4 linked regions of the Drosophila melanogaster genome follow. The protein of the gene in region 1 interacts with the protein of each later gene in a pairwise test. Each region holds a gene or a part of one and is shown in the gene's direction. Other genes may lie near its edges.

What was found.
Region 2: the proteins of CG7656 (region 1) and CG42369 interact in a two-hybrid assay, tested with the Drosophila melanogaster proteins (one large-scale study listed by BioGRID).
Region 3: the proteins of CG7656 (region 1) and AstC-R1 interact in a two-hybrid assay, tested with the Drosophila melanogaster proteins (one large-scale study listed by BioGRID).
Region 4: the proteins of CG7656 (region 1) and Rexo5 interact in a two-hybrid assay, tested with the Drosophila melanogaster proteins (one large-scale study listed by BioGRID).

The regions. Positions count from the first base shown.
Region 1 is NT_037436.4:15,585,559-15,589,873, reverse strand, and holds CG7656 (uncharacterized protein), read left to right. Parts: upstream 1-1,698; 5' UTR 1,699-1,819; intron 1,820-2,006; exon of another isoform or gene 2,007-2,277; 5' UTR 2,278-2,308; coding exon 2,309-2,869; intron 2,870-3,273; coding exon 3,274-3,672; 3' UTR 3,673-3,794; downstream 3,795-4,315. Other genes in the region: RhoGAP71E (Rho GTPase activating protein at 71E), read right to left, coding at 1-326.
Region 2 is NT_033779.5:6,395,350-6,399,186, reverse strand, and holds CG42369 (uncharacterized protein), read left to right. Parts: upstream 1-1,937; 5' UTR 1,938-2,093; coding exon 2,094-3,299; 3' UTR 3,300-3,334; downstream 3,335-3,837.
Region 3 is NT_037436.4:18,558,548-18,563,269, forward strand, and holds the start of AstC-R1 (allatostatin C receptor 1), read left to right. Parts: upstream 1-1,710; 5' UTR 1,711-2,157; intron 2,158-4,722.
Region 4 is NT_037436.4:6,601,972-6,609,275, forward strand, and holds Rexo5 (RNA exonuclease 5), read left to right. Parts: upstream 1-1,712; 5' UTR 1,713-1,922; intron 1,923-1,991; 5' UTR 1,992-2,213; intron 2,214-2,394; exon of another isoform or gene 2,395-2,706; coding exon of another isoform or gene 2,707-3,231; intron 3,232-3,303; coding exon of another isoform or gene 3,304-3,605; intron 3,606-3,661; coding exon of another isoform or gene 3,662-3,938; exon of another isoform or gene 3,939-4,061; intron 4,062-4,207; exon of another isoform or gene 4,208-4,323; 5' UTR 4,324-4,345; coding exon 4,346-5,107; intron 5,108-5,163; coding exon 5,164-6,447; 3' UTR 6,448-6,768; downstream 6,769-7,304. Other genes in the region: ndl (nudel), read right to left, coding at 1-486, 543-686, 1,109-1,127; zpg (zero population growth), read right to left, coding at 2,707-3,231, 3,304-3,605, 3,662-3,938.

The DNA.
Region 1 (4,315 bases):
GCGATGGTGAACACCGAATAGTTGTCCACGTTGACGAGCCGACCGGCCTGCAGGAAGTGGATGAGCTTCTTCATTGCGCCCTGGTGGCCGGGTGCGCGGAATACATCGCGGCGGTTCGGTGACTCCTTGTTCAGTTTGAGGATCAGGACGAGCAGGGGCCCGGGAATGTTGTTGTTGTGCTTGCACACCTCCTCCAGCGGCACACCGAATTTGACCTTTTCGAGGCGGTACGGGTAGGCGGGAGCGGTGGCTGGGTGGCCGCAGGAGGTCACCACGTTGCCCAAATCCGCGGCGCGCCTATGGACGCGTTCTGCCCAGCTGGACATGGTTTTTCACGCGATTTTCCTGCCTCCCTGCCTTCCTGCCTGTGTTTGTGTGCTTTTGCGTGCGCGTGTGTGCGTGTATGTATGTGCTGGCGAGTTTTTCAGCGAGCAGAGGAAAATGTGCTCGGCAGATTTTATGGTTTTATGCTGGCCACAAACATGTTCACTTGACTGGAATGTTAATTTGTTCGCCTGCCCAATATGCGGAAAATATCTTTCAGATTTTCACTATTTATTATTTTTTATTATTTTTTACTTTATTTTCGACACCTACTCTCGCGTCGCAGCCCCAGATTTTAGCCCAAAATGAGCAGCTTTGAAAAGCCAGCTTTGATTAAAAAATCGCCACCACTCCTGCTGTATGCATTTTTCTCTTCTCTTCTTCGCGTCTCTCTTTTACACTGCGTTTCTCCGTTTCTTTTGCGCTTTTCTTCTTTTTGGCCAACGCCTCGGAGCTGCTATGCCTTTTGCGCCCCTTCGCTTACTGAATTAAACGCTCGCCTATCGCATTTCGCTTGGATTTGTTGAGAACGCGGCGTTCGGCGTCACTTTCGGTTAGTTTAGCACTAGTTTAGTTGTGTTATTTCGGGGAGTGTTTAATTATTTTGCTGCGCTCGCCCGCACGCTCGACTTTTTTCGCTGTATATTGAAAACGGAGTGTGGACATCAAGCGGTAGCTGCAGAATGCCTGAGGCTCAGCGCTTCGCTGCGAAATACCAACGGAATATACCAAGAAATTATACTGCACAAGTACTGTGATAGTAGGGGTGTTCCAGCATTCGTTAAGTTTCAAAATGCCAAAGCCAAAGATAAAAAGATATAAAAAAAATTAACGCACTTATGCAATACCAAAAACGAATAAATACATAATGTTACTACTTTTATCAGGGAACTTGGCTTAACAAAGTTTATACAAATGCACAATGAAATTAAATCTACTTAACTGCTAACTGTTATTATTAGTTATTTCATACGATATGCAGGAGGCAGAAAGTTGCTTATTAAACATATATTTTCATAAATATTTCACGAAAGTATGAGAAAATTTCAAAATCGTTTGATAATATACTAATACGCTATTTAGCCACATATATAAGTCTCTAATGTATTTCTTAAATAAATCATTTGTAAAGCTATAAACTAAATTCTTTTATAAAATCTACTCCCAAAAAAAACAGCAGCATCAAACCTTAGCGTCTTAATATTAATTCAAATGAACACTCATCGCTTGCCGATTCAAAATCGTAAGGTTTTCTTTTAAATTCAAAACTCGCTGGAATGCCGAGACTTGTGACGTCACACGCCATCTTCATGCTGCGCGGCGAGAAACATGCGCAAACGTCACCTTCTCAGCGGCAGACTCAGGTTGTCCATCCCTGGTTCAAGTAATGTCACCCTGGTTTTTGTTTTGTAAAGTGAAATTGTTGCAAGTCAAACAACAATAATAAAAATCATTAAAAGCGCGTACAAGAAGTCAAAAAGAATTGCCCACACAAGTACGTATTGACGGGCTGTCAGCTTTGCTATATGGAAATCAATTTTCCACTCAACTTTTACTTGGAAATCGGTATTTAATTTTGTGTTGTCTGCTGTGAAAGTAACAACAACAAAATCAAGAGTAACGTCAAGAGCAAAAATAGTTTTCCCCATTTTCAAAATTGACAAATATAGATGTACATTTCCCGCAATTTCGCCGCACAACTAGACTAGAGTTTAGACCAAATTTTCGCAGTTTTCCCAGCCCAGTATTTTCGAACAGCCGCACAGTCATCGCTTTTGTGACGTGCTCACCTTGAATTCATCAGCAGGCAGCAAGATATTGACCCTGCACATAGACACTCCCGGTCATGAAATTAGTAGCCGTTGCTAGTAGCCATTTGACACACTCCATTTAAACATACCTAAATCAAAATATTGACATGTCTCGGCATTTGGAAAACTTCTTTACCAACAGAGTACGGCGACAACTGCAAGTGGCTGAACAAATGACCACCGCCGCCTCCACATCGCAGCATGCGACATCGTCCTCCACAATGATGGCGGGCTCTGGATCCTTGGCGACCTCGTCGTCCGCCGCTGCCCCCACAACCACGCCCAGCAGCTCGGCCGTTCGCGCCCTGGCCATGGAGTACAAGTCGCTGCAGGAAGAGCCGGTGGAGGGATTCCGCGTCAAGCTGATCAACGACGACAATCTGTTCGAATGGGAGGTGGCAATCTTCGGGCCACCGGACACCCTCTACCAGGGCGGCTACTTCAAGGCGCACATGAAGTTCCCGCACGACTATCCATACTCACCGCCATCCATACGCTTCCTGACGAAGGTCTGGCATCCGAATGTTTACGAGAACGGTGATCTGTGCATATCCATACTACATCCGCCGGTGGATGATCCGCAGAGTGGCGAGCTGCCCTGCGAACGCTGGAATCCCACGCAGAATGTGCGCACCATCCTGCTGTCGGTCATATCGCTGCTCAATGAGCCGAACACATTCTCGCCGGCCAACGTGGACGCCTCGGTCATGTACCGCCGATGGCGGGACTCACAGGTTAGACTGGCTCATCTAGTCATAGTAAATGTCTAGTATGCGGACTTCTCAATAATGAAAGCAGTGCAAAACTTATCTTTGGAATATGGACTAGTCATTTTACTCGAAGATCAATCTAAGTCAGTTCGAAAGCCCAGATCTAGTTTACTAGTTTTATTAACTTTGATTTCAATCAATGTCAGTTTCAATGCTTCTTTTTTGAACTTGTAATTCAACATTGTAATTCACTTTTAATTACATGCCTTGATTTTGGTTCTTCGAACGTGCATATTTCCTTCATTACATTGTAAGTACGTTCTCTTTTCACACGAACAGTCAATGTAACTTATTCAAAGCTTGAAGTCCGCATACTAGGCATTTACAAACGCCACTTGGCTTTTTAATAAGGACTTGCTTGATTTCAGGGTAAGGACAATGAGTATCCAAACATCATACGAAAACAGGCACTGGCCGCCAATGCCGAGGCCAAGCGGGAGGGCATTGTGGTTCCGATGACCCTGGAGGACTACTGCCTGAAGCCCACGCGCAAGCCCACAACGGAGTCTGGCCTGGATGCCAACTTCTACGATGATGATTTCGATCTGGAGACGGAGGATGATCTGCCATCTGATGATGACTTCGATGAGGACGACGACGATGATGAGGACGAGGATGAAGATGAGGACAGTGCCACGGCGCCGATTAGCAAAAATAATGGAGGCAGCAGCAAGTGCAAGAACAACGGGCTGGTCAGAGAGGCGGCCGCCGCCGGAGCGGACGATGCCGAATCCGCTGATGACAGCGGCAAGGGCGAGACCACATAATGCAGCCAGGCCAGGGTCGCGTCATCTCTTCCTCCCACTCCTGCCCAGGGCGGCGAGCCACCGCCTTTTAATTTCTCCAACATTATTACTATTATTAATTCTAATTATACACGTTTCGAAACTAAACCGAACAACTGAGAAAACAATTATTTAACAAGTTTATATGTACCGAGGGTAGTTGAAACAATGGTCCTACGCTGATTTTATCTACTCAATTTTACTTTGATAACTAAGATGATGATCGTATAAGCTACAGGTTATATGCATGCGGGCTAACTCAATTCCCAGCCTGTGGGCAAGCAATTAAGAGTTCAGGGACTTCTCCAAATCCAAACATTTATACGCAGAAGAAACACACAACACAGAAACAAGAATAAAACCAATAACACAAGAAACTCAAACAGAAACTGATTATCAATATACACAGCATATGTACTAGGTATTTAATATTTAAAAATATACATACACACATTTTTATGAGCGGAAACGAAATACAAATGTCCCAATTCGCGCGACGCGGCATCCTATCGTACATAATGGACACAGCATCAAGGTAAAGAACAGAAAAAAAAACCATATTAAACAATCAATGGATTTCAAGAATAAAAGCAAATATGGAAACATAGCGATTAAGCAATTTTTA
Region 2 (3,837 bases), on another chromosome or scaffold:
TCGCACTTTTGAGATAGAAAATGCACAGTTGATAAATATATGTATGTGCGATGCTCTATATTGGCCCCTCAAGCATTTACTTAATCTGTCAAGTTGAGTAAACAATGAAGCAAAATAGAAGGACAGATAAATACACTGAGATAATTTTATGACAATATCTTCGATTTAAATGGAAATCATGAAATCTTGCATTAAGTACTTTTCGCATTTGTATTTACTTTGGGAATTCTGATCCCAAGTAATGTAGCTGAAAGAACTTAAAATTCTCTTATACAGATGACTGTCCAACATCTTTATTGGATATAGATGTGTGCATACCCAATGCCTCTAGGAGTACAGGGTATTTATTCATATAAAAGAGCACAACTTAGAATGTAACTTAGAATGATGCTCGGTCAACGCGCGGGATGAGCGATAAAATCAAAGCACAGTATAACCAAAACAATTGTTCAAAAAGAAGAGCAATTTTTTCGGACAATGAAGAAAGCGCATAAGAAGTGTTTTGAAAAAAACAAAAGTTTAACTCCTTTAAAATCATTAAAACGCTTTTAGCGCTTTTCACGCCCCTGGCCAGCGAGAATTTCCACCCGTCTGGCAAAGCGCTGGAAAGTTTAGTTTCGGCTTTGTTACCGAAAAAACAGAAAGACAAAAAAAAAAAAAAGGAAAACTGTCGGCGATGATGGAAAAAGTGGCAAAGTTTTTCTCAAAGGCATCACTGGCGAAGTATAAGAATAAAATGACCGACCATGAGTGACCGGAGCAAAGCTCTATGGGCTAGTAGATACCCTAACCAGATGACTTTCTTGCGAATAGATTTTGTCACTTAAGTGCCAGCAATGTGGAGGGCAGCCGTTCCTCCAGCCATGACTCCTTGGCTTTCGTCCTCCAGAAATCCTTTGTCCTTGGCCACAGTTTGAATCAAAGTGTCTTGGTCGTTCGCCATTGAAGCGAATGCGTAGCCCATGCCAATTGTGCAATTGTTGGAAAATTTCTTCTTCAGGTTTTTGGTATCTTTTATTTTTTCTTACATTTTTTTTTTTCCTAAAAACTTTATCGGTGTGCCTTTCATTTTTTCTTAACCATTTTTCCCCATTTTTACGCTCTTTGCCAAACCGTTTCCATAGTTTTTTTTTGCGTTTTGGGTTTCGTCTTAAAAGGTGTTGGCCATTATGCGGTTGCAGATACCCTTTGATCGAATATTAAAGGCTAATGCACAGAAATGTTCGAACGAAATCGAAATCAAGTGTTTTCGCTAAAAGTTGGCAAAGGGGAAGTGGCATGAGTTCAATCAATTTGACGAACTTCAATCAAGCTGCGCCATAGAATGAAGAACGACGAGCATCGCTGATTTGGAATCCATGTGGATTCATGCCACATCCCATTTGGGATTCCGCTGAAGTTCTGTCGTCAAATGGCAGCAGTCTGCAGTCTGCAACTTTAAGCTAACTTGTGATAGGTATCCCGCACACGCGCTCAGTTTGAGTTCGGTCAACAATTGCCCGCACAGACAAATTGGGAAGGAGCGCTGACTATTTGATACATTGTAGGGACCAATGTCCTGGCCATTTGCAGTTGCACGGGCACCAGGTTACAGCGAATCGATTCCCTCATTCAATCCTATCCCGATTCACCAGTCAGTTGTTGCCACTAATGCCCTTTCGACGAACAATAGTTGTCGAAATGGGGAAAGGATAAAAATGCATTACCTTCAAATAAAAAGTTATGTATTAAATTGTGCTGGTTTCTGACAGAGGAATTGTAATCAGCGCTGAACTCTTTCCTTTCTTATTTTCGCTGTCCTTAATTTGCGTTCGATTATTAGCAGAAAATAAAATATAATATAATTTGCACGAATTGGATTACCCATTATTTCTCTCAGTGCCAGCTCCGTAGCGATAAGGCTGTCGAACTGAGCGCAGTTCGCTTTCGCACTGGTTAATCGTCAGTGGTCGGCTTGGCATATCAGACGAACTAACCGCATCACCGACTTGACTACTGACCCCAATCTAAGCCCCTTCGTCTAATCAGCCAACTGGCGGCGACAACAACGCAGTTTCTGCAATCAAAATCAGTTGGAGCCAGCTCCCTCTAAGATGATGATCGAGTGGTGGCTGCCATGGGTGTGCCTCTTGCCGCTCATGCAGGCGGATCCTGTTGCTCCCCAGCTGGATCTTGGTGTGAAGGACTTCCAGCTGGAGCTTCTGCGCGAGTTAAGCGACCTGGTGCAACAGCGGATTGAACCGAGTCTCAACGACTACCTGGATCGTCTAGGACGCATTCCTCGGAATGCCAACTACACCGAAGAGATGAGTGCAGCTCGCGCAACACCAAAGCTTCAATTGAAGGTGACGCTCATCAAGCAGCTGCTCGACGTGCGTCCGCACCTGGACACGGATATGGAGTACACCATTGTGCTGCGCAACCTGGTCTTTCTGAACCGAGTCAGATCCACGCTGAGGGCTGCCGAGGAGACTAGCACACAAGAGATCCGAATGATGCGCATGCACCGCCTCTGCCAGCAACTTGACCGACCGGCTCCTCATCGCGGCAGTCGCCTGATCAACGAACAGACAGTCGGGGCGGCATTGGGGCAACTCAATCTGACCAAAAAGGAGGTGAACTCCACCGGCTTGGATCTCAATGAGTTCGGGGCGCAGCTGTACGAGCGGGTCAAGTTATCCGGCGCCGAAATCATCGACAACTACCTGCACATACTGCGTTCCCTGCTGCAGGACATCATCGACGGTGACCATGCTGATCTGGCCGGGAGCAGTGCCAAGCTGGACAAGATGCAGCAGCAGCTGGACGTCATGCTTGCCACGGAGGACTTCTTCGAGAAACGTCAACGGGTGTATGCGTACCTGGAGCACCACTTGCGCACCGATTACGAGGAGATGCGGGACACATCGAGCAGCGAGCACATCACCGAACATCTTCTCGCCCAGCTGAAGACCAAGGGACTGGACCTGTTCGTCATCTTTCTTTTTAGCAATTTTGAATTCCTAGACCTGGTGCACGAGCACTGGGAGCAGCTGTTGCCACAGTCACCCAGTTTGCTATACGACGAGACCGCACGCCAATTGTACGATCTGCAGCAGCTGTATCAGGTCTTCAAGCTGGACACGGAGTGCGAGGCCAAGTACACGGCCTACTCGGACGCACTGCGTCGCTTGCACGAGCGGACCGTGGAGCAGGGTCAGCGCAACCGGCACATCTTTGAGCTGCTCCACAACGCGGCACAAAGCGTCGGCACGGTTACCTTCAACATGATCCGGGCCAAGTGCAATGAGCTAAGATGAGATGACATTTATAATAAAACCAAACTTTGCTACTTAAATGATGAGAGTTGCGTGCTTTTGGCTATATAGTTCCACATACTAATATCTTATATTGAAGACATCGCCTGTGCTGCAATTGACAGCGTTTGAAAGGACAAGTTTCACAACATAATTACATTTTGCCAGTTCCTGCGGTTGTCGCCTGCTTTTAATATCCGTCTGCCGCATCTGATTTCGCTTAAGTATCGTCCAGGAACACCTTTCCACATCTTCGGGGTGAGCGGACAGCAACTTCCTTTTGCCGCATTATGCAGATGTTGCCGTTAGTGTTGCTTCTCCTGGTGTTGCCACTGCTCGTTGTTTATCAGATGCTGCCAGGGCTCTAAGGATTCAACTCTTGCTCCTGCTTCAGCTCCAGCTGAAGCTGCAGCATCATGGCTCCCTTGTGGTACCGATGGGCCTTCAGACTAATGACTGCTGCTGCCGCTGTCGTTGGCCAAAGCCAGCTAATTAATTGTCGTCGTTGCAGGTGATTAGAACTTAAATGAGTTGCCGGTGC
Region 3 (4,722 bases), 3.0 Mb from region 1:
ATTTCGGTCGCATTTAAAGCACTTTTCAGTGCCAACGGAAAAGGATTAAAGCAAACTGTCGGAAATTCAACCAGAAGGATTAAAAGTTTTGCTCAAAAGGCCAAACTAAAGTTTGACTCCGAAGAACGTCGACAGTTGCCATATTTTCTGTGTCACTCTCTTTCCAAAGTTTCTTCTAGATATCCCCCAACTCTTACCATATGTTTGCCAGCTTTTTTTTCACTGTCATCTAACCAAGTCGAACTTTTTTCTAAACGAAAACATCAACTGGCTCCACATGGAAATTATTGCAGCAAATTTCTTTCCAAGTTGGGTGCGAACAAAAACGGAAAATTTCCTGTTCTTCTAATGACCAACAGAGCAAGGGAGATAACTCCGGGTTTGGGCCAGGTGGATAGTTTTCCAAGTGCACGGCAATTAGATTTCGACGCCTGGGGCTTCTTAAGTTGGAGCTCTGAGACGGTGGCAGTGCTGAGATATGATTTATTTACCCAAAAAATGTAGGAGGAAACTAAAGATTGGTATCTGAAACGCAATCACTTTCCAAACTTAATTTAAATATCTGATAAATTTGCAAACTAACTTTGTAAACTTTGGAAAAAATATGTATGAATGATTTATATCGAGTGTGATGTTTGGTAACGAGGCAAGAACATATTTTTAATGTTTTTAAGAATATATATATGATATAGCACAGTCTTGCTATATCATATCCTAAGTAAATTGTGAGAGCATGCATTTCTTGTCCTCCTTTCCATGTCATTACTGATTTCAATTATTGCAAACAACTGTATGCAAAATGCATGCAATTAAGGCTAGAATAATCAATCAGCAATCAAAGCCTTTCCGAATTCAAGCTAATACACGTACATTTGCAACTATAATTATAACATTGACTGTCCCAATACCGATATAATTTTAAATGCAGTGCCATACCTGAACTACGAAACAATTGTGCCGAAAATAATATGTTATGCAAACACATTTGTGTTATTGGAATTTGGTAAAAGTATAAATAACACATTACGTATACGGCCGGTAAGCCATCCCATAAACGATTTTGAACATTTTAATTATAAGGAATTATAAATCTGATAAAATAAGGGTATATGCTCGCTAATATATGTTAAATTTAGAGTAATTAAATTTAGGTCCAAAATAACTGGAAATAATTTTTATAACAGCATGATACCAAAGGAAGGTAAAACTTTTTAAAATTTCTTGTTTTAGCATGAGATAGATAACACATGGAAGTAGTTTTGATTAACCTATAGCGACAACACATCTCAATATTATACTTTGATAATCCTTGTTCTTATATCCTTCTAAATGGCACCAGTAGAATCAACAAGCACTTGCCCAAAATGGCAACAGAACTGCAAGCGCTAACATTCGACTGTTGTTGGCCAACGAAAGTGAGAGTTCGTATAAGAGAGAAAGTGTCGGCGGGAGAGTCTCCCTCACCGCGTGCTCTCCCGACCAACTGTTAATTGAGGAAAATTGCAGCTGGGAAAACGGCAGCAGACCGCAACACGCATCAGGCATCAGGCCAATCGGGCGACGAACCTGAAAGCCGAGCACCGAGCGCAATTGTGGATCCGAGCGACTCTGCAGTCGGAAAACTCGCATCGGAAAATTCGCATCGGAAAACTCGCATGCACCATAACAAAATTCGCCGGCAAATGCGGCGCGCAGTATGCAAAACAACACCGGAACGTGCAGTTCAGTCACTGTATCTGAATCTAAAATAATAATATAAAACCAAACTACGAGCAAACCCAGGGTAAAGTAAACAAAAACTTCGCCAGCGCCAAAGACCAAATTCGATGAACGTGCGCGAAAAACTCAAACCAAATAGGGTGAGAGTGGCGAAAAAGTTGGGCGGGTGATAGATAACCCCCGGGGGCTTTTCCTGCTGCCTGCATCCAATCCAAATTAGCGGCCAAAAACGCAAGGAAAATAAACAAATAATTTTACTACCAGCCGCCGTCGAATCACAAATAAATCCGACGTAGAGTGAAAAATAACATTAGCGTCGCAATCCGAGGAATTGCAGAAACGCTTGCCAAATATTTTGAAAACCCCGAAAAGTGCGTGGTGTGCCATTTTATCGGATTCGAAAGGATGAGTGGCTAGATGACACAATATATTCAAGTGGTAAGCAAAATGTGCCTCGAGGAGCATCGAACGGGTTGCCTTGTGTGCACATCTAAAACGATTGGGTGCTATCTATCTCCAATGTGATTAGAAATATGTATGTACTATATAGTAAATAAAAAATAAGCTCTCCTCATCTACATATAAATATAATCCTAATTCTAGTTTTTGAACTTAAATTAAATATAAATATAGTTTAACTTGAAGGGTTTGCAATACTTTCGCTCTGTGCTTGGGTTTTCCATTTTCAACGTTCAAATGTTTGTGTGCGTTGAAATTTATCAGATAACTGAAATTCTGTGCGAATAGCAATTTGTAACTGTTGAATGTCTTGCGTTGAGGGAAAGAGGTTGGTCTTCCTACGAGGCGATGGGATGGGTTGAGGAACGAGGATGCCCGATGATGTGGAAACTGAGAAGGGCTGACCATCGACGGCAGCCGCAGTAAACCAGAAAGGATTTTGGGGAAACGAAACAAAATTTGACAAATTAGGGAATGCTGGAATGGTCGTAAATGTTATTCAGAGAAGTGCTATGCTGAGAATAAATGCAGAAATTGTTACGGAGACATGTTGATTAATTCGTTATGTGAGATGTGCAGAATAAAAATGCCAATTTAAGAAAAGAAATGCCAAGGCCACAAGTAATTTTCTTAATAAATATCCTGCATACATATTAAAGTGCAGCAGAAATTATTTGTTATTGGCTCATTACTCCTAGGGGTGTGGAATTTTGTAAACTTGATTTAATTGTAAGTAATTCCCATTTTATTATGAGAAAGTTAACCAAGTGGTTCAGAACCAAAGCTATGAGCTACTTACAATTTTTATAGAAGCCCTCTATGTTGTTCAGCTATGAAACTCAAGTTCCTTTAGCCTCCGTAGTTCCCCCTTCACACCAGATAACCCGGCGAATGAGCTCATCCAGCTAAGTAAAGTCCACTAAAACCGAACACCCCCTCCCCGCAAGACCAACTAAAAGGCACAAGGAGGCGGAGATAGCCACTGCCACCCCATGACCATAAAGCCCAATCAAAAGGCCGTTGCACTCGCTGACTAACGGACTAACTGAGTGAATGACGTGCCCTGGCCCAATCCTTCAGTCAATCGGTTTGATGGCCTGAGTCCGAATGTGGAGCTAGAAGCAGCACGGGAAGACAACGCAAACAGCAGGCGAAAGTGAAGGAGCAAGTCACGGAGGAGGAGCAAACGAAGCGTTTCAGCAGCTGCTGCTGCGACTCTGCAACTCGGGGCGTGTAATTTGTCAGACAGATTTCTTTTAGCGCCAGGACACAACCCCTCCCATCCAATCCAATCCAATGCTTCCTACACACCCACACTCAGCAATTGCCCACCCACAAAAAATACCGCCCACGTCATTGCAACAAAACTGCTTCCTTCCTGACTTTTTTGGCCATGCTCTTTGAAACTGAACTGGGCGTCCGACGAGGCTGGGATTGCTCTTACAAATCAGATATTCCCTTTAATTATATAATTTACAAATCTTTGTTCGTGAGTTTATACATTACATACATAAAATCGGAAGTGTTTTAATTTGCTTTTACTTTTGCATTTAAAAATGAATTATAATCAAGTTGATATAGTATGCAATTTTTTAGCTTGAAACTATAAATTGTACACTTTTAAATCCGTTTTATTTTATAATTTTAAATCAAGGATCTTAACAGAATAGACATTAAAAATTGTAGTCTTTCATTATAGGTTTGCACCATTGGTGACATATTTTGTCAATGTTTCTGATACCAAGTAGCATTTGGCAAAAATGTGGTTAAGATAAGAAAAAATGTATAAAACACCCCGGACTTTTATTAAAACCCATTGAATAAGTGAAAATGGGAACAGTCTGTGCAAAGGTATTGAAAAAGGAAGGGAAAGGAACGAGCCAGACATTGACATTTCAGTGCAAATGAAGTGATAAAACGTAAAGGCAAAGCGGCGTCAGCTAGAAAATTGCCAAAGTGGGTAAAGGAAGTGTAGGGAAAAGTGTGGAAGAGAGAGACAGACATAGTTGGGGAGAAAGAGACGGACGACTGAGCTAGATAGAGAGGGCCTGGCAGACAAAGCGCGTCGAAAATGCGTCTAATTTGATGGAAGCGATGCATGCCTTAACCTTTCGTCGGCGTCAGGCAAACAGACAGCAGCAACAACGAACACAACGATGACAGGCACCAAATGATAGCATTTCCTCCCAACTCAAAGGATCCGACTTAGCCAAGAACAAGGACACTGGCAAGGGAAAGGGAAGGGGAAAGAGTAGGAGAAGGGACCAGCCAACTGGGAGAGGATGAGCACCGGATTCAAATGGCGGAACAAGTGCCAGAGATGCTGATGTGGCGCCTCCTCAGCTGCTGACAACAAATTGATGGCCAAGGATGCACAGAAATTCCTCGGAAATTAGTCAACGCACAAGGGATTCCCACAAACTTCACTTAAAGGGGAAACCGTTCTGAAATATTAGACCGTTGTTAATATCCCAATCCTTCATGCTTTCCCAAAACAAAATTCACTTTCTTTCCTTAATCAGAACGAAAAAATATCCAAAAAAG
Region 4 (7,304 bases), 9.0 Mb from region 1:
TGCTTGATTCCAATTTCGGCTGCTGCTCCCGCATAATGGCCTTCATCTTCTCCATTTTCTCGGTCACCTCCTTTGCCATTTTGTACATGCGCAGAAAGGCGGACATGCAATCCTGCGGAGTATGCTTTTTGCAACGCACAAACTCATGCTCCAACTGGCTTAGGGCTTCTCTTGCCCTTTTACTTCGCAGCTTGGTGTACAGGTGCTGCATATTGGCCTCCATCCGGACGGGATCCAACAGATCCAACCCATGCAAATCACGCCGCATGCGGTGTTTCTTGTTCAACCGGAACTTAACCAGCATTTGCCGCATATGCTTCCTTCTCCTGTTTTTGCTATCCTCCATATCCTTGTTCATATCCTCGTCGAGCAATTTGAAGTGCAAAGTTTGAGGACTCACAATCAGGGCAGACTGATCCTCCTCAAAGGGCTGGTTGAAAAGCACCTGGTGCCTGGCATTCAGCGCTGCAATCTGCTGCACTTGATCTTTAAGTAATTTATTAGTTATTATTACTCTTATTATAACTCGTTAACGAACTTACCAATTTTCTCCACCACTAGCCCGTGGTAAACCAGAGAAAATAGCAACACGATGATGACCAGAATCGAGATGGCCACGATCCGTTTGCCGAATCCAATGCTCCACCAACGTCGCGGATGCCGAAGCAGCCTGGTGGCCTCCATCTCTAAAGAATTCCGTTTAAGAAGATTAGTGTAACGAAATTTCTTAACCAAGTTCAATTATGGATTTTTTGTAAGCCAATCGCTTAAGTATTAAACTGTTTACATACTTGTATGTTTATTGTCTTGTTCGCAGTTTTTATAAAAACTCAGTCTACATACTTTTATTTTCAACATACATAATTAAACACTTTTTATTATTTATTGTGGTCAGCACTTTCTGGCCTGTTCAGCACTTTTGCAATAATTTTTATAATAATGCTGATCCAAGTTCAAAATAAAATGGAACTTTCGACCATTTTATGGAATTCACTTTCTGGCTTAAAATGTTCACAGACGTGGGTGAAAATATTAATTGTTTTTGGCCTATTTTTTTTTTTGCCAACGAGTACGGAAGTTATTTTCAAGATTTCAAAGTAACACATACCATCCATGTTGTAATTCATTATTCATAAATTGATTTATCTTCTGGATTTTTCACTTAAGCTCTGGACATTTTTAACACATAAGCTTTTACGCCACAAAATCGCTGATTATTTCTTTCAATTATATGTTAAGCACTTTGTTAAATTGGCCGGGAAACAAGGAGCCTCAGGTTACAGCGATTCACTCAAACAAAAATCCACAAAAAGCAATCGCAAAGCAATTTGATATGCACGATAATCCAGAACGGTAATAATCACTACGATGACGACTTCCGCGCGATCCGGCCGGTAAAGAGCAACTGAATCCGACGGTGGTGAATGCGCCGCTTATAAGGGCTTCCGGAAAGTGGATCAGCGGGCAAACGACCCACATCCAGCGGCCACTGCTGCACTTTTCTGCTACGTTTCGAAGTTTATGGTTTTTTGGTTAATGAAAAGCGGCCCGGCAACTGCGGAGGTCAGCTGAAATGGCCGACGAAAAGTGCAAGTTGAAGGGGATTTTGGAATGGCAGAGCAACGAACCAGCCGCCCACCACCTATGAAACCAGAACTGTAAGCTAAGCAGGCCCAGCATTAATTCTCAACCCTGTGTCAGAAGTTTCCAAATCAGTTCTTTCCCTTTTTTTTTTTACAAATTTCGTAAAGCGCATAAAAATAAAAACATTTTTCCACACATCAAAGCTTTGACCACGAACACTATTTACCGAAAAATATAAATAAAAAACAAAAAGAAACGGTAGTAAAACAGAAAACACATGCATTCTACTTAGAAAATCAAATAAAATTGTTTATCAAAATTTTACCATCAGACAGAATGTAAGTAGCAGCAGCGCATGAAACGTGCAGGAATCGAGTGTCTTAGCCAGTTTTCCCATGAACCCACAGAACTTCATTAACAAAAATTGATGCGCAAGCAAAGAAAGTATATGCCCTCAAGATCCAGCCAGTCATTAGTCATTGGAGGAACCAGAAAACAAACACAAACACAAGGACCTTCCCACGGCATGCGCATAGAGTTCCTTAACATATTAACCTTTATCTCGAGATAACAAACATGATGTGGACCAGAACGACAATCGCACTGCGCAGAATTGCCAGGTCGCAAAGGTAAGTAACAAATAAACTCATTTCATTCAAAAAGGTATTAGTTACTCATACTCATACACCACCTTGAACGACTAATTATTGTGTAGGTGATATGTAGGTAAATGATGGTGATGAAAGATTAATAACAATAGTGGCCAGTTAACAATCAATAAACTGTGCATGAAAATAGCTTATGTTCTTTACACTTTCAACTTTTATTAAAGATAAATTCAGTTTTCGATCTATATCAAGCCAATTAAGGATTCAAATGGTCAAGAATATTTATGATGATTAAGAAATATGAGAATTTACTGAACAAGTGAAAATGGCACATTATTCTTAGCACAAAAATTATAATAGTTCGTTATATCTTCGATAATATGCACATATCGATGTGAAAAAATTAATGTATGTTATTCTTGTTTGTGTCATCTTAGTCTTCTACTCTAGATGATTCAAATGATAATACCTATTTCAGTATATTGAGATTAAACTTGGCGTCATCGCTGAGATCTTAGATCTTGTCCGCTCCTGGCGGTATTTTGATCAAGGACTGAGCTTCGTACAGCTCCTCCAGCAACTTACGGAATAGCTCGGGGCTGATGTTGTTGCCCACGCGCATCAGCACGAACCAGTCGCCAAAACTGCAATTGCGCAATGCCACCTGCAAGTGCTTCTTGGGCATGAAACGTGCCCTGGCACGAAGCAACTGAAGACGCATTCCGGGATACAAAACGGTGGCCAGGCGGTACAGAAACTTGAGGGAAATGAGCATAGCCACTAGTATAAACCATATCCACAGGAAGGCGAAGATTTTCTCGTTCAGTATATTCAGGGGCAGCAGGCAAAGGTAGTCGTATATGTTGGAAGAACCGCTGGGGCCGCCCTTGTACATCTCGCACTTGGCACACTTGGGGAAGACTGCCATGGTTATAATGTTCCACTGGTTATAGTCGCCATTGTAAAGGGACAGCAAGGCATTACGGTAGCGGCCCCAAAAACCTCCGAAAAATACGTCCAACAGAAGGAAGTTTAGAATCTGCGGGGTTGCAAATAATTACAATTTTTAGTAATATCGTAGATTATTGAATTACTAGTTTTGGTCACTCACACTGATGCTCAAATTGAGTATTTCGCAGAAGACGTAGCTAACGAAGTAGCGGAAGTGGGTCTCTTTGTAATCGCTGGAGAAGTAGTTGACTAGTACGCGCAAATGGGTCCTGCTCTTGTCCTTGCAAACGGCCATCTTGTGGAAATCATCGCACAAATGCTTCAGCCGACCGCCCTCCCAAATCTTCCAGAGAAATGCTGGCATATAAAACACAAACGACTCGAGCAGCAATACCAGCACGACCCACTGATAGTAGGTTATGTAGTTACGATTTTCCGGGGGCACTACCTTACTAACCGCATCTGAAATGAAGAATCCGTGCTGAACATGGGAATCTTTGAAGCATTTCCAAACTCACCTGGTCGGCACTGTGCAGCTCCATTCCTTAGGGGCGTCACAGTCACATTGTCGCTCACATAGGCCCCGTAGATCCAACAAAAGGCGTGCACGTAGTCCATATCCTTGTCCCCAAAACACTGGATGGGATCGCCGAAATATTGTTTCGAGGAAAGCAAAAATGTGCAGGCCAAAAGCAGGGCCACTGTGACTTTGGAGTGCAGCGTGAAAATAGCATCGTAGATGTGCACCGACTTGAACTGCAGATACTTGGAGAGCGGTTTAACAGCTGCGTACATGATGGCGTATTTATTTTATTTAATTTCGGGCGTAAAACAAAAATTTTGGGGCGGTTGTAAAGTTTGACGATTTAACTTGTACCAAAAGCACGCGGCATCATAACGGTTGATGTATACTATGGTTGTCTCTTTCTTACTCACGCCTGGGAACCTTACGTACAAACCGCAATTTCCAGCAGCCAGCTTTTGGCAGGCACTGATTTCGGCTGGAAAGAAGTCAGATTTGACGAGAAAATAGCGGGACTGCCAGCTCTGTTGGGGCTAAAAACTGTTTTTACCATCTGGTAACACTAGCACGTTGCACATGTTAAATCTTCGTGTTGACAAATTGAAATCTACTGAAAATCGAGTTAATTTAATAAAAGTTGCGTATTTTCGCCTGCAGCTTGAACGGTAAGCGCTCCAGGATGAAGGAACATATGTCCACCAAGCAGCACGAGCGCAACGAGAAGAAGAAAAAGAAGCTGGCGGCCCTGGCGAACCTGATGGAGCTCAACGATCGCGATCGATTGCACGAGGCAGAGTTGGCCAAAAAACGCGATGCAGAGGTCGAAGTGGAGGAGAAGTCAACAGCGAAGGCGGAGGACGGGGACGACGGTTTCATCGTGGTGGGCAGCAAACGCAAGCCGCGAAACCGTCGTCAAAACAACGAGCTGGAGGCGGATTCACAGACTGCCCCAGGAACATCAGATCCTGAAGAGCCGGTGAACAAGAAAATCCGCAATTACGATGCTGGTGGAGATAGCCTGCCGCTGGAGATTGGCTCGCTATCCGAGGATCAGTACAATCAGTTGTCGGCAGAGTTGAGGCGTCGCAAACGGGAGCTGGAGAACGTACCGGCCTTGCGACTGCGTGAGATGGGTCAGCGCGCCTCCCTGGAGACTCCGCAAGATGCTCGTACGCCCATCTTTCTAACCGACATCCAGAACCTGTTGATGTGCGCTCTCATTGGCCAGAAGAGCCCCTGCCGTCCGGATCGCTGGTGCAGCGTGGAGAAGTGGCTCAGTCTGTCGCACAGTGTGGTGGTCATTCTGGAGGGACTATCTCTCTACCACTATCTGTCTAACGAGACCCAGTTTGAGGCCACCAACAGGATATTCAGCACGAAGCTGGAGATGATACTTCCACCGCAGGAGGAGGGCCAGAAGATTATCGACGAGATAGCCAAGGTAGGGCTTCGTTGAAACTGTCTGTTTGCCTAATAATATATCCCTTGCTCTTGCAGATTCCTCTCACCAATGCGCAGGCACGCAGACTGATAGACGAGCACGGCTCCCTGGAGTCGGCTGTGGAGCTGAACAAAGATCCAACTTTGTTTGTAAAGACAATCTTTCCAATCGAAAGCTCTAAATCTGAGTCGGATGACATGCATGAGGATGACAAGTTCCCACGCACTAAGCTCCTGCTGTCAGCGCTGCAAATGGTCGACGAGGGCTATCCTATTCCATTGCAGGGCGAGCTACACACTCGTTTCCAAAACTTTAAGTTTACCAAGGATCTGTATGCACCGGTAACCAATCGCAGTCCTATGTTCGGCGTTGATTGTGAAATGTGTCACACGGAGGCGGGTTGTAACGAGCTAACCCGAATCTCTATTGTCAACGAAAATTACGAGACCGTTTATGAAACGCTAGTGTTGCCAAATAACCGGATCACCGACTATCTAACCCAATATTCGGGCATAACCGCAGAAATTATGGAGCAAGTGACCAAGAGGCTGGATGTTGTGCAAAAGGAAGTGTCCGAACTGCTGCCTCCAGATGCCATTCTGGTGGGGCAATCTCTAAATTCTGACTTGAACGCCATGAAAATGATGCACCCGTATGTAATTGACACCAGCGTGTGCTTTAACACATCTGGGGTGCGACGACGCAAGACCAAGCTGAAGGATCTGGCCAAAACCTTTTTACAGGAAATTATCCAGGAGAACATCGATGGTCACGATTCCATTGAGGATTCGCGAGCCACGCTGAAGCTCGTCAAGAAGAAGCTGGCAAACAGCATCGAGTTCGGAGACCAGATCCTCACGCAGCACAAGCAATTACAGGAGTTGGCGAACGCATCCAGCGGTGATACCATATCCAACAATCTGTTTGCACATGTGGCAAAGCGGGATAAGCGCACGGCCATTGTCACGGTCGGCGAGCTGCAGCCCCGTCTAAAGGAAGTGATCGAAAAGGCGGGAGAGGCAGCGCCCAAGGATCAAAGTACGTCGGTGCATGTCCACGAGGTATCTACGGCCAAGGAAGCCATTCGGAAGGTCAATGAAGTTGCACTGGAAAATGCCCTGACAATTGCCAACCTCCGCGTGCCAGAGCAGGACTTTATATTGGACAGTGCACAGCGGAGTGTTGCCAAACTGGACAAGACCATTGATCGCCTGTGGAAGTCAGTTGCGCACAACGGACTCTTCCTCGTCATCATGGGCGGATCCACAGAGTGCTCGAAGGGTGTAGCCAAAATAGCCATCAAGCGACTAAACGGATCGAATCAGACTATGGAAAGTTAGGGAGCTTTTAAGAACCTTACTTATGCTAACCGCCTCCATGGATACCCGCTCCCACTAAGGTCCTGAGTGTTGAAATCCAGCAGATAAATCAAATTTACCGTATCACACTGAAGACATGACCAACAGTTGCATTACCATACACCTGGGAAATGTCCTGCATGCATGAGTGCATCGATGAAAAATTGTAAAATTAAAAACAAATTCGATCAATAACGAATAATAAAATGTACATTTAATTTTTTTCACAAAATTCCATTGGCTTCTGCATAGTTGTATTAAATTAAATGAGCGGTAAAAATTATTATGGATTATTGTATAAAGAAAAAACTATACAAAAAACTAATTATTATTGATTCCATTTTAAAATTTTCTGAAAGGGTCAACATAATACATGGTTTATTGAACCGTAAAAACTGTTCGTGTCCGCAGGCAATTAGAAATAATTCCAGTATCCGTCCGATACATTTTCCGGATGGAGCATTCCAAACTGGCTGCTTGAATTTGACCCAGTTTCGTCTGGTTTGCATTGCCCGATATATGTGGCTGGTGGTGCTCGCTGGCCAGGCGGCTGTGTTGATAAGAGCCACAAATTTCCTACCTCCCTCAATGTGGTGCTCCGTTGTCTAGGGCCCGGCCCGAAAGCCCGAACTGGGCCTCCTCCCTAGAAGCGCCCACGCACTCTCGCTCTCCCTGGCTTTTTCATTTCCCTCTCTGTCGCTTTGGAAAGGGAAAGTCCCCGCAGCGGAGTATCTGTGTCTTATCACACGCTCGAAAATGTTGCGTCTTTTTTGGCTGAGTACTCATACGACCTGTAGGTCGTGCTCAAAGTTTCTATGCGCATGTCCCGCCGCAAGAAT